Diceros bicornis minor: one gene and its partner. Each later gene encodes a partner of the first gene's protein in a complex. Links are inferred from orthologs where the notes say so. Each region holds a gene or a part of one and is shown in the gene's direction. Other genes may lie near its edges.

Evidence for each region. Proteins that work in one complex are often made in the same cells at the same time.
Region 2: the proteins of GHRHR (region 1) and GHRH are in contact, whole or in part, in a cryo-EM structure (PDB 7CZ5), measured with the Homo sapiens proteins. The link is inferred for Diceros bicornis minor from reciprocal best matches to the Homo sapiens genes GHRHR and GHRH. Residues at the interface, in NP_000814.2 of Homo sapiens: Leu119, Ala120, Glu122, Glu123, Phe126, Ser127, Val129, Lys130, Tyr133, Val179, Lys182, Leu186, Phe187, Asp190, Thr192, Asp193, His194, Cys195, Phe197, His210, Thr213, Phe217, Ala271, Cys272, Asp274, Leu275, Asp276, Trp282, Ile285, Ile289; in NP_066567.1 of Homo sapiens: Tyr32, Ala33, Asp34, Ala35, Ile36, Phe37, Thr38, Asn39, Ser40, Tyr41, Arg42, Val44, Leu45, Gly46, Gln47, Leu48, Ser49, Ala50, Leu53.

The regions. Positions count from the first base shown.
Region 1 is NC_080742.1:55,225,058-55,232,725, forward strand, and holds the start of GHRHR (growth hormone-releasing hormone receptor), read left to right. Parts: upstream 1-4,660; coding exon 4,661-4,717; intron 4,718-7,384; coding exon 7,385-7,487; intron 7,488-7,609; coding exon 7,610-7,668.
Region 2 is NC_080758.1:22,802,341-22,808,860, forward strand, and holds GHRH (somatoliberin), read left to right. Parts: upstream 1-3,886; coding exon 3,887-3,966; intron 3,967-4,298; coding exon 4,299-4,403; intron 4,404-5,875; coding exon 5,876-5,999; downstream 6,000-6,520. UniProt on the Homo sapiens protein: GRF is released by the hypothalamus and acts on the adenohypophyse to stimulate the secretion of growth hormone.

The DNA.
Region 1 (7,668 bases):
CTGTTGATATTCAATTATTTCAGCACTGTTTGTTGAAGACTGTTTTTTTTCCATTGAATTGCCTTTGCACCTTTATAAAAAACCAGCTGACTATATTTGTGTGGGTCTATTTCTGAGCTCTCTATCTTGTTTCATTGTTCCGTATGTCTATCCTTTTGCCAACACCACACTGTCATGATTACTGTAGAGATATATATATGTATTTCTTTTTGATGTTATTGTAAATGGAATGATTTTCTTAATTTCCCTTTCAGATTGTTCATTGTTAGTGTATAGAAAAACAACTGATTTTTGCATGTTGATTTTGTATTCTACAACTTTATTGAATTTGTTTATTAACCTTTTTTTTGTGTGTGGATTCTCCGGGATTTTCTACATTTAAGATCACGTCATCTGTGAACAGAGAGAATTTTATTTTTTCTTTTCCAGTTTGGGTGCCTTTTATTTCTTTTTCTTGCCTAATTACTCTGGCTAGAACTTCCAGTACTACGTTGAATAGAAGGGGAGAAAGCAGATACCCTGTCTCGTTCCTCATCTCAGGGAAAATGCTTTCAGTCTTTCACCCTAGAGTATAATGTTCACTGAGGGTTTTTCACATATGGCCTTTATCATGTTAGGGAAGGTCCCTTCTATTCTTAGAGTATTGCGTTTTTTGTCTTGAAGTGGTGTTAGATTTTGTCAAATGCTTCTTCTACATCAATTGAGATGATCATGTAGTTTTTTTCCTTCATCTATTAAAACTCATACAAAAATTACAATGAGATATCACCTCATGCTCGTCAGAATGGCTATAATTAACAAGACAGGAAACAACAAGTGTTGGAGAGGATGTGGGGAGAAGGGAACTCTCGTACGATGCTGGTGGGAGTGCAAACTGGTGCAGCCACTATGGAGAACAGTATGGAGATTCCTCAGAAAATTAAGGATAAAACTACCATATGATCCAGCTATTCCACTGCTGGGTATTTATCCAAAGAACAGGAAAACACCAATGTGTAAAGATACATGCACCCCGGTGTTCATTGCAGTGTTACTCACAATAGCCAAGACTTCGAAGCAACCTAAGTGCCCATCAAGGGACGAATGGATGAAGAAAATGTGGTATATATACACAATGGAATACTACTCAGCCATAAGAAACGATGAAATCCAGCCATTTGTGACAACATGGATGGACATTGAGAATAGTATGTTAAGTGAAATAAGTCAGAGGGAGAAGGTCAAATACCATATGATCTCACTCATAAGTAGAAGATAAAAATAACAACAAACAAACACATAGAGACAGAGATTGGATTGGTGGTTACCAGAGGGGTGGAAGGAAGGGAGGAGGGCGAAAGGGATGATTAGGCACATGTGTGTGGTCATGGATTGTTATTAGTATTTGGATGGTGAACATGATGTAATCTATGCAGAAATAGAAGTATAATGATGTACACCTGAAATTTATACAATGTTATAAACCAATGTTACTGCAATAAAAAACAAATTAATTAAAAATTAAAAAAAAATAACTCATACAAAAAACTATTTTGTGTATTTTATTTGGATTTCTTGTTGTTAAGGCAGGAGGAGAGTAAGTGGGTTCCCTGTTGCTCTGTTGGCTGGAAGCAGAAGTTCCTCAAATACGTTTTTTGAAATCTCTCCACGTTGATACGGATAGATTTGGTTCATCCTTTTAATTCTCTACTGTATTCCATTGTATGCATATATCACATTTTATTTAGCTGTTTCATTATAGTTGGACATTTGTGTTGTTTTCTGGTTTTTACTACATATTATAAACAATATTGCCCTCTGGGGCAAATACCCAAAAATGGAACTTATGGTTTATAGGTATGTTCATATATAGATTCAATAGATCACATCAAATTGCTTTTCAAAGTGGGTGTACCAGTATTCACTCCAATATGCACAGTATAAAAATACTATTTCCTCACAGTATTTTCCAAACATACTATCAGACGTTAATATTTTAGGCAATGTGGTAGGCTCTTTTCTCTCTTTCATTTTCATTTTCTTGAGTATTGGTGATGTTGAGCATTTCTTCATCTGTTTATTGGTCCTGTATTTCACTTATTTTCTGAATTGCCTATTTATATCCTTTGCTCACCTTTTTATTGTGTTTTATTATTGACTTGTAGGTATTTTTAAAACATATTTTTGATACCATGTGTTTATTGTCATAATTGGTCATAGATGTTTTTTTCAGTCTATAACTTGCTTGTAGTTTTATCTATGGTATCCTTTCTTGAATGTACATTTTTTTTTAATGTTGATGTGAACAAACATTAATCTTTTCTTAATGGTTTTTATTTTTTATATAAGAAAGTCTCCTTTCTTCTAAGGTCATAAAACCAATTTCCATTATTGTTTTATAGGGCTTTAAATCTTCTAGAATTTATATTTCGTAAATGTGAGCTAATCTTCTTTTTCCATACAAAGAATCAATTGTTCTAACCTTATCTGCCAACAGTCTTTCCTTGTTGCATGCTATCGTTGATGACTGTCCACTGTGAGCTAGGCTCTGTATGAGCTACTTTATGTGCCTTTCCTTATCTACTGATCCCATCAACCCTATAAGGAAGGTATCATTCCCATTTTTCAGATGGGGAAACTGAGGTTTAGAAAGGTTAAATAACTTGCCCAAGGTCACACAGCTGGCAAGTGGTAGAGACAGAATTTGAACCCTGAGTAGATGCAGAGATAACGAGAGATGGGAGTTCAGTGGCCCTGGCCTATTCAGAAGGGACAGTGAGGCTGGGGGATCCTTGGGGAACATGAACAGGATTTTGGAACAGTGTTTCTCAAACTTAGTCTTATTGACCTTTGGGGCTGGATAGTTCTTTATATGGCTGTGGGGCATACCTGTGCACTGTAGGATGTTCATCAGCATCCCTGGTTCCCATCCATTAGATACTATAGCACCTTGCCAAGCTTCCTCCCCACTCCTGACTCCTGGCTATGACAATGAAAACTAGGCATTGCTGAATGTTCCCTAGAGAACAAAATTGCTTCCTGTTAAGAATCACTAATTTAGATAGTAATAGTTATTATTGCATATCAATGTCAATTATTAACCATCATTAAAGCTAATGACATTGATACTAATTATCAACAGTGATTAATCGTGATATTTATCCTTGGGCTGTTGCCTCTTTGTAGCTGGAGGACAGGAGATTCTAGCTTTCCCTTTAAGTTGCACCTTCTCCGTGTTCTGCCCTCCCACCCTGCAAACCCTCACTGGGCCTGCCATCAGGGGAACTCTGCTTCCTCCTGACGACTTGCTGAGCTCAGCGTCTGTGTCGCCCGCCCGCACTGTTCACCGCAAAGCACACAACAATACTTGTGCGAGGGCAGGCGGGGTCTGGGGATTGGGGTGGTTCATGCTTTGTTTTCAAAATATTTTTCTCCAACACTTCATTGGCGATGAATACAAATGGAAAAAGAAAGCCCTGCTTATGTAAAATGATTCCTCAATCCAGATGTGGCGGGGGCGGGGAGCCTTCATCATTCATGATTCGTGTCAGGCTGTAAACACGTCTGTTGTCAGCAGCGTCCAGCCCAGCGAGCTCCGGGAATGCAGACCTGCCACAAATGTCAGCGCCGACCAGGCCCTGGGGCGTTCAGGGCCCTCGGAGATGAAATGTGAAAAATGCTGTACGAGATCCAGGGTAATTTAGAACGCCTGGCCAAATGGGATCCCACATTTTAAAGTCTAAACTATAATAAAAAAGGACCAGGTAATGAATGTTCAAAATAATTGGAGCGGCTGTGTAAGTCCTTTCGTGTCTGCTACTGAAAACAGCTGTCTTGGCCCGTTCAGGATGCCCCAGCCCCACGAATCCCCTTGCAAGCTGCCTATTCAGCCTCATTTTCCCCTCTTGCTGTGAGGACTTCTGGAGAGACTTTGACAAGCCCCACGTGAAGTCAGGGCCTTGTATCTGCAGATTCACCCTGCCATCCAGGCTGACGTCCTTGCCGGGGAAAGAAAAGAGGTCCTGCCGATATGACACCCTCTTGGCCAGCCTGTGCCGGTACTTAGTGATCACATCTCCTTTTCTCACTCATTCCTACCCTCCAGCCCCCTGACACCCTGTATCCACCTGCGCTGGCTACCCACAGCCCTGAGCCCTCCCTCCAGCCCAGTGGACGAGACTGGGATCACCAACCGAACTGGGGGCTCCCTGAGGGCAGGCCCAGGTCTTCCTCTTCTTCTTTGAGTCTCCTTCATTTTTGGGGGGCTGTCTCCAGTGTGGGCCAGCAGAGAGCAGGCTCAGAGAAGAAAATGGGAGAGAATATTGACCTCTTGGGGTAAGAGGTGTCCTGTGGCTGTCACCTCTCGGGGCTCTCTCAAGGACAGACACACAGGCTAAATTGCAGACAGAGTGGAAGGGAGTCTGGGGGAAGGAGTCAGCCCCTCCCTGCTGGGACATGGAGTCCCACCCCAGGGCCAGGGCTGAGTTGGGCATGGTGTCCTGCAATCCTGGTAAATATTCAGCTGTTTCTGAGCCCTATCCTGGCTCCTGCCTATGCAAACCACCACCCAGGAAGGGGAGGTAGAGGGTGTGATGCCGCGGCAGCAGCAGGGGATGGTGGGGGAGGGAAGAGGGCCGAGGCTCACTGAGGCTGCCTGAGGAGCCACTGCCGAGCCCCCGCCATGGACAGCAGGGCGTGGGGTGCCTGCATCCTCTGCTTGCTGAGCCTGTTACCCATCGTGAGTAGCCAGCCCAGACCTTCCTGCCTCTCCCGCTGGGCTCCAGGTCTGGCAGCCTCAGGGCCATACGAGGGTCCGGCTGGAGCCTGGTGGGGACCCTGCTACCCTTCCCCAGTGTAGGATCTCTCTCTACCAAGCAGGCGGCAGGCCGTGGCTTGGACAACTGATACCCGTGGCTCCCTCCTTCCCTTCCCTTCCCAGGCAGTCTGCTTCTCTCTGGGTAGCTCTGACTATTAAAATGTCCTTCCCGGGGCTGAGCTGAGTTCACCTCCCTGTTGCCTCCCCCAGGGCCTGTCTGTGCCCTTTGGGGGCCACAGAGACTCTGTCTGCCCCAAGACAGTGCCTCTGGATTGGGAGGCAGTCAGGTCCTTCCCTTCACATCCCAAGTCTCTCTAAGCTCTGCACCCCCATTTCTTCCATACACTCCTCCTCCAAGATCTCCAGACCCCTCCTTGTCCCCACGACCCCTGGAGCCTCACTCCCATTTGATTGCTGGGAGGCTCTTTTAAGAGGCTGTGGCCAAGGACTGAGTGGCCTGAGTGGTTAGTGGAGAACAGCTGCTCCTCTCCGGATTGAGGAGACTCTTCCTCTTATGATATGTCCTGGGGTTGGAGAAGCTTTTGGCAACCAAATATTGCTTGGAGGCCTAGACTGTTGGAGAACGGGGCGCCAGGACAGGGGCCCTCCCTGAATGTGCTGCAATTTCCCAGCATGTTCTCCAGGAGCTACTGCGAGTGATGCAGGGACCAAGATGGGAGGCACAAGGTGCTGGGTGGGCAGCCCCTGCTCCCGGGGGGCTCCCGGGCCCCACGTGGACTGAGGTCTCCTTCTTCCTCCACTGGCTTGCTGTGGGGGCGGGGCACCACCCCCGGGGCCACGCCTCCCAAGCACTGTGAGACACCTGCCCCCAGGGGCAGGGCTTGAATCCTGCACAGTGAACCTAGCTGTGTGACCTGGGGGCGTTCCTCACCCCTCCTGAGCCTCCCTTGTCTCTTGTAAAAGAGGAAATAATATCTGCTTGCCAGGGCTGTTGTGCATTGAGTGGGGTCTGATACGTCAAGGGCTGGGCATAAGGTACAATACAGGTAACTTCTGCTGCCCTCCCCTCCCCAGAGAGGGGAACCTCCTCACTCGTCTGTGTGCACCCCACGGGAAAATCACACTTTCTCTCTCTCACACACCCCCCAACACTACAACTTCCCCCAGCACGCACACCCCTGCTTCTATCATCACATCTCCTTCTCTGACTCTGACTTTCCTGCCTCCCTGTTATAAGGACCCTCGTGTCCACCCAGATAATCCAGGATAATCTCCCCTCCTCAAGATCTTTAAGATAATCTCCCCATCTCAAGATCTTTAACGTAATCACATCTGCAAAGTCTCTTTTGCCATGCAAGGTAGCGCATTCACAGGTTTCAGGGATTAGGATGTGGACCTTTTTGGGGGGGGGTGAGTTATTCTGCCTACCAAGGTGCTCTACGCAGAATTGCTCCCAGGCGGCAGGAGTGCAGGTGCGGGAGGAAAACAGGGAAGGAGGAGAGGCCACCACACGGACACGTTATGGAGTCAGCCACCTCCACGAGCTCTTCTGAGGACTCCTGTGTAAGGTGTCTCACAACTTACTGCCATGAGACGAAAAGAGGAAGCATCCCTCCAAACCTCCCTCCCTCCTTCCTTCCTTCTTCCTTCCTACTTTCCTTCCCTCTTTCCTTCCTTCCTTCCTTCCCTCTGTCCTTTCTTCCTTCCTTCCCTCTGCCCTTTCTCCTTCCTTCCTCCTTCCTTCCTTCCCTCTGTCCTTTCTTCCTTCCTTCCTTCTGTCGAGGCAAATAATTCATAAACAATCTATAAATCAAAAGTTAGGGTGAGTTTATTATGAGCCAACCCTAAGGACCATATAGCCCAGGAGAGTCCCTTCACAAAGGAAGGAAACACTCCAAAGAAGTGGGGTGTACAGAGTGGGTATATACCTTCTTGGAACAAAGAGCATACGTCACATAGGACGGGAATATCCCTTTTACAATAGTCACGAGATTGCTTTGCCAGCACAGCAGATCAGTGAACATAGAAGGTCGGTTGTCACAAGGTGAGCACAGCAGGTCAGCAATCAATCCTTAGTTTAGGGAGAGATGCTTATCCTTAAAGAAATGCCAATGTGGGGGAAGCTACATCCCTATCTTTAAGGGTTTCATTCTTGTCTTTGGGACATAGTAAATACTTAAAGCAAATGTGCAATGCATGCTCAACAGGCTATGTCAGGCCCTTTTGGAAAAACAAGGTCAGGCTGAATTAGTTTTACACCAAATGGCTTCCTCATATACTCCAGTATATCCCATGGCTTGTCATTTATTTATCACTTCCTTTTCCTTCCCTCTGTCCTTCCTTCCTTCCCTCCCTCCTTCCCTCCCTCGTTCCCTCCCTCCTGCCCACCTTCCTTCCTTCCTTCCTTGCTGAGTGGTGAGGTTGGGGAGCTCTTCTTTTCTTCCTTCCCTCCCTCCCTCCCTCCTTCCTTCCATCAAGTACACCTGTAAGCGCCATGAGCCAGGCCCGTGCTTGGGAGCAGGGGTGCAGAAATGAATCAGGCTTTGTCTCTGTCCTCAGGTCGTTTGGACCAGAGAACCCAGAAGGAGCACCCTACTGGCTGGGCTCATCATTAACTCTCTCTTGCAGGTTCTGGGCCACGTGCACCCAGAGTGTGACTTCCTCACCCAGCTGAGAGAGGAGGAGAGGGCGTGTCTCCAGGTGGCAGAGGAGATGCCCAACGCCACTCTGGGTATGGCGCTTAGGAGGGAGGAGGCGGCTTCTCAGATTCCTTGATCTCCCCAACCTCACCAATCAGAATGTTGGAGGGCCTGTCCCCTGGGCTGAGTCTACTCTGCTCCCATCTCTATCTAGGATGTCCTAGGACCTGGGATGGGCTGCTGTGCTGGCCGATGGCAGGCTCTGGCGAGTGG
Region 2 (6,520 bases), on another chromosome or scaffold:
GGCCCACCGCCATCCTCTTTGCCCGTGGATGGGTGAGTACATTTAGATCCCTTGTTAGGGGCTCTGGAACATGCTTTTGGTGGTTGGCGCCATTTTGAGGTTGTCTCTGGTACGTGGCATCTCAACCCTTGGAGGAGTGGCAGGCAGAGAGACATGTTCCAGGTGTCTGTCAGAGGTGGATGAGGTTTCAGTGCTCCTTCAAGGGTGTGCAGGCAGGTCTCTGGGGCAAGACACGAGGTGGGTAGATTTTCCTATGGACAACGGGACTCTGCCATGGATCAGAAAGGAGCCAAGGGGCCGTGCAAATCAATACCGCTCCTCTATGGCTCAGAACCGAGTCAACGTAATTGCCTGGAAATTGATAACATTTTGCTTTCTTGCTCAATTGCAGCTGTGCGCCTTACTCTAGGTTTTAGACACGATTATCTACCCTTGGAGCGCTCCATTACCCCCACGCTGGTCTCTTGATCTGTGCTTTAATGGTCCTGAAGTATTTGTGTCTTTCACCATAAACCTCCTCAAACCCTTTCTGGAAGGAGGCCAGGTGTCACTCTTTTGAATGACAATTCAAGATGCTTCCTCATTAAAAACTTAGATCTCCTTTGACTTGGAACATTATTTCTGAAACAGTTTAAAAAGTGGATCAGGATGCCAATGCTTTAGTGTTCCGTTACGAAGCAGAATATGTAAGAAAGGGAAAAGACTTTTTTTCCTAGGTGTTCAAAAGTGGCCTTGCTCACTTGGGCACTTGAGACCTGACCCCTGCCGTTAGCTGAAGGCGCATCTGCGGGATTGTCGTGTCTTTCTTGGCATGAAGCCTGGCAGAAGGTGCCAACCGATGTAGATCAAGTGCCCATTGATCTTGAGTCCAGATGATCTCAAATCTATCTAATCACAGAATGCGTCTGTAAGCACTGCGGGAAGCTGATACTCATCATGATAGATGGTAAACTCTAAAATGCCTTCGGAGCCATCAAGGGGTTGTCGATGATGTTGTTGGGTTCACGCTACACTTAGCTCGGTGAATTCTAGGTCCCTAGATTGGTCACGTGGAATACGTCTGTCAACTGCTACTTTATCTTTGGTGACCAACCTCTATTCTTTTCACACCATAAGCTGGATAATTCTTGTTGTTTCCCATCTTTCTCCAGCGGGATTTTTGCCACCCTATGGATTAGGTTCTCATGGCCCCGAGGTTGTAATGGCATCTTGACCCATCGCTGGGGCTCATGGTTTATGGTAAATGTGGTGCCTCTCGGTTGACTAGACGATGCCGTTGCTCAGCCTCATTCTGGATGAGCCAGAAGTCACTGTATTTACTGTGACTCTCCCCAGAAAGTCTGCCCTCCTCTCAGGTTACTGTCAACTCCCTAAAACCACTGAGTGTGCACAGGAAGGTGCTGGCCGAGCGGCTGTCCCTGTTTGTCTCCTTTTTTTCTTCCCTAGAGACCCAATGACAAAGAGCAAAAGCTTTCCGTTTTCTCAGACCATTTCCCATGCGCAGGTGATGAATTCTGAAGCGCCCCGTGAATGGGGAGTGCTGTGAATAGGGTATTGTATCTGGGAGGCTGCCACGCGGAGCAGGAGGAAGGCTGCTGGCCTGGGAATCGCGAAGCCCATTCTGAAGTGCCCTCTCTGAAACTAATTTGATGGAGGACCGTGGAAAAGGCTCTTCTCCCCTCTGGGCTCGTTCCCTCGGCTGTAAAATGAAGATCGTGGTACCTGCTTCACAGGGCAGGTATCGCGGGTGAGCTGTGTGGGTCAGGAGGGCACTGGGGCTGGGAGTCACTTGTGCCACCCCTGGGAGAAGGGGCAGGAGCGGCCGAGGGAGAGCTTAGGCCCGGAGCAGAGACGTGGGCTTCACTCTGGAGAGAGTTGGGGGCCAAGGGCTTCTGAGCAGGGGAGTAAAATGATTAGGGACCTGGATGCACCCAGGTTTTTAAAAGATCAGCAGCAAAGAAGGCAAGAAAGCCCAGGCTGTAGCTGGGAGACAGAAAAATCAGGGATTGTGTCAAGGGGCCCTCCTTGCCTCCAAAGATCTCCATGTTTAGGAAATTCCACTGCTAGGGAGGCAACCTGGACCAGGCGGGGAGAAGAGGAGCCAGACGTGATAGGTGTGGTGAGGACAGAAGACTGAAGATCCTTGGTCTGGTGAGCAAAGGCCTGAGTCAGATGCAAAACGCGTTTAAGGGCTTGTCATGTGGATGAAAGGCAGAAGCTCTGGGTGGCACAGCAGATGAATGTCAAAGGGGCAGCCCTGGGTGGCAGATACCGTGTTTTCGTCTTTTCTCTAGCCCCAGTCTCTACCAGAAGAGTAGAAGCTTAACAAGTATTTGCAGGATAAGGGGATTTGGACTTGACATGATGAGAAAAACTTTCTAACAAGAGCTGCCTGGAAATAGGACAGACTGGCTTGGAGGTAATGAGCTCACTGTTACTCACTGGCAGCAAGTGTTTGAGCAGGAACTGCAGGATCATCTGTTGGGGGGAAGGGGGTTGGAGGGGGCGCACATCAAGGAGGTGCTGATGATGGAGGCCTGGAAGGCTGTTCCCTCCAGCTCTGGAGGTGTGGGGTTCTCAGGCCGCATTGAGCAGTCCCCATGCACACTCCCTTCGGTCTCAAGGCATCCCTGGGTTAGTCGAGACCCCAGTGTCTGGGAGAAGGGGGCAAATGCCCTAAGAGGGCCAATGAGCCCAGAAAAGGAAGGTGGATTCTGCCAGCACTGGCCCTGCCTGCTGGAAATCACCCCTCAGCAGGACCAGAGAGGAAATGGAGGATGTGGGGTGATCATGGGGAAGGAGGGGTCTTGCCCATCTCTGGGGCTGGCTGGGCCTCTGCGTGGGTCTGTCTCCCCGTGGAGTAGATATCCTGCTGGGAGAGGGGGTGCCATGGGAGATGGGAAGACCCAAGTCCTAGGTGGCCAAGTCACCCTGTTTCCACACCAGGCAGGTCTGGGTTGACAGCAGAGATACCTGCCACAGCGAGGCGGGCTCTTTTCCCTGTTGACTGTTCTTCCCCTAATTGCAGAGCACGCTGTCAGCAGGCCCCGATTAGGGGTAATTACATGATCTATGCGCTGATTCTGCCGCACTGGCTTCCCAGGCTCCTGGTCTCTGCCAGGGGTAAGACTCTCGGGTGAGATCTAAGCATGTGGAGCAAGATCTAAAGCCTTCCCTTCCCTCCAACTCCACCCGTAACAAACACAGGACCAGCCTGCCCTCTGAGTGGGTCTGATATTAGGTATCACAGCAAAGGTTTGTGGAGAATTCCCTGTGTGCCAGGCTACTCTCATCTCCTTTAATCCTCACAAGGACCCTATGCAGTGGGTATAGTTATCGACTCCCTTTTAGGGATAGGGAAACTGAGGCCCAGAAAGGAGAAGTCACTTGTCCTGGGACACACAGCTTGTGATGGCAGAGCCTGGATATGAACTCAGATTTGTCTGACTCAGAGCCTGAGCCGTCAGCCCCGCTCACTGCTGTCTGCCACACTGAGAGGGGTGACTTAGGGGACTAAGGGAAAGTGCTTGCTCCTCCCCTAGCTTGCTGAGGCCTGAATTCCACACATAATGCCTTATAGCAAGGGGCAGTCTCCCCATGATCATTAATTTTCTCTTCAACCCTATGAGGTCAGCAGGGTAGTTTTTCATGCCCATTTGACAGATGGAGAAAATGACTGGCAGAGGCAGAACTTGAACCCAGGTCTGTCTGACTTCCAGAGCCTGGCTTCTTTTTCCTACCCCATGACATTCAAATGACAAGGACCAAGGCTTGTACAGAGCCAAGCGCACGGCTGGGCCCAGCCGGCAAAGAACATCTCTGTGGCTAGGCCTACACCTGACCTTCCCCTCTTGCCATTTTCCAGGTGCCACTGCAGGAGTGAAGGATGCTGCTCTGGGTGTTCTTCCTCGTGATCCTCACCTTCAGCAGTGGCTCTCACTGCTCTCCACCCTCCCCGCCCCTCAGGTAAGCAGTCCTGCCCACAGGGCCTGGATTCCTGCTGCCCCAAAGCCGTCCCTGCCACCCAGGGGGGTAGTTTAGGAGTGCAGAATAGAGCCACAAGCTGGCCCGCAGCTATATCCTCAGGCAGCCCCCACTGACCACGTCTGGGATGGGGCAGCCCCTGAGCTCCAGAGAGGTCTCCCAGCCTGGGGTCCCTCTCTCTCTTGGGATGAGCAAGGCAAAGGGCAACAGAAGGACCTTACAGAGATATGGTAAGCGCAGCCCGCCCCAACCCTGGCTGTCCTCTCGCCTGGCCGCACCACCCCGCCCTCTGACCTCTGACTCCTTCCATATAGAATGCCTCGGTATGCAGATGCCATCTTCACCAACAGCTACCGGAAGGTGCTGAGCCAGCTGTCTGCCCGCAAGCTACTCCAGGACATCATGAGCAGACAGCAGGGGTAAGCAGAAGTTCTCGTGATTTCCTCCTGTCCTTCTATGCATCAGAGTTTGGAGGGACCAAACTTTGTCACTTCCCTCGCACAGCCTCTGTCATTTCTGGACTTGCCATAGCAGAAGGGCCCCCTTGTCAAACCTCAGCTTACCTCTAACCATGAAATGATCCTTGAAGACATGCTATGTGCTTCTCCCCATGTGAGGCTCCAACACTAACAATACCGACTGCAGTTACCATTCTATTGATTGTGACTGTGGTAGAAACAAAGGCTCTGCCCTGGGACATTTACACACACTCTGCCCAGTGCTGGGCACACGGTCAGCCCTTGGTAGTGTTAGCCGTTACCCTTAGTTTGTTATCTGCTCCTTGTAACAACCCTACAAAGTAGGGATTCTTACCCGCATCGCACAGAGCTGTTAATAGCTTCTAGACGACATACATCAAAGAGTGGCAGAGCCGGGATCCAAATAGCCTGACTCCACAGCCTGTACATTTGGTAGTTTTCATTTTGAAAAATTCCAAACTTATAGAAAAGTTGCAGCAGTAGTACAATGGACTTCCACACACCCTTCCCTATATTCAACAATTCCTAATATTTTATCATATTTGCTTACTCTATATCTATACCTAGATATGGATCTATACATGCACACACAAACATATGTAGGCATTTATTATTATTATTATTATTTTGCTGAATCATTTGAGAGTTAATCGCAGTCATCATGACCTTTACCCTTAGGTGTGACCTTTACCCTGTGTGTCTCCTAACATGCCACAGAAGGACATGCTCTTACATAATCACAGTATAATCGCTTAGAGTCCATATTCATATTTCACCAGTTGTCTCAAAATGTCCTTTAGAACAATTATTTATTTTCCTGATTCAGGATCCAGTCCAGGCTCACAGCGTGCATTGAGTTGTCGTGTCTCTTCAGTTTCCTGTAATATGCGACTATTCCTCAGTCTTTCATGACGCTGGCATTTTTGATTAGTAAAGGCCAACTATTTATAGAATGTCCCTCATATCAGGTTTACTTGGTGTTTCTTCAGGATTAGATTCAAATTCACATTCGCAGAAGTGACATTGTGTCCTTCTCAGTGCATTGTATCAGGAGGCACATGATGTCACTTTGTCCCAGTATTGGTGATGGTAACTTGGATACTTGGTTAACATGGTGTCTGCCAGGGTTCTCGTCTGTAAAGTTAATATTTTTCCCTTTGTAATGAATAAGTAATCTGTGGGGAGATATTTTGCAAATATGTATTTCACAGCCTATACTCTTCACTACTGTATAGACTGCCTTGCTAAAAGCAGCTCAATCTAATTTGGTTGGGTGGAAGTGTCCGCACCAGACATGGGAATAGGCACAGAGACACACCCTGCTCTGCTCACTTTGTCCTGGCCTTTCCCAGGCCTCCCCAAATCCTACCCAAATAGCAACCACAGCTGTTTCTCTTTCTCTAACCTAACAGAGAGAGAAACCAGGAGCAAGAAGCAAAGACACGGCTTGGCCGTCAGGTGGACAACATGTGGGCGGACCAAGAGCAGATGGCATTGGAGAGCATCCTGGTGGCCCTGCAGCAGAAGCCGGGGTAGGAATACATGTGTGTGCATGTGCACGCACATGTGTACGTGTAGGGACCAAAGAGGATTCCTTCCCTGTGTGTTGCCAAGAAAAGGAAAGAATCTCCTCCTTTCCAAAGACATGGGGCTCTGCCAAGCAAACTGGGAACAAGGTCCCACCTTACACACATCAAGAACTGGAGGAAGGGAAGAAAATGCCTGATAGAGACTGGATCTTAGCCACTGCTGTATTTTCCAGCGTGTTGCAAGAGGCCAGGCTCATCTGTGACCGAAAAAGTTACTTACTTGATAGTTCTGGGATAGGACCTGGAACCTGAATTTTAACAAGTGTCCCAGGGGTTTCTGATGCAGATGATCTGAGAGGCATGCCCTGGATCCCTTGCCACATTCACAAAATTATAAACCCAAAGGAAGACCAGCCCCTCCCAACACCCTCAGGGAGAGAGTGTGGGCAGCCCTCATGAGAGGGAGAGAGGGGCATGACAGTCATTCCCATCTCCCTGACCCTCACACTCCTACTGGGACAGGGAAGA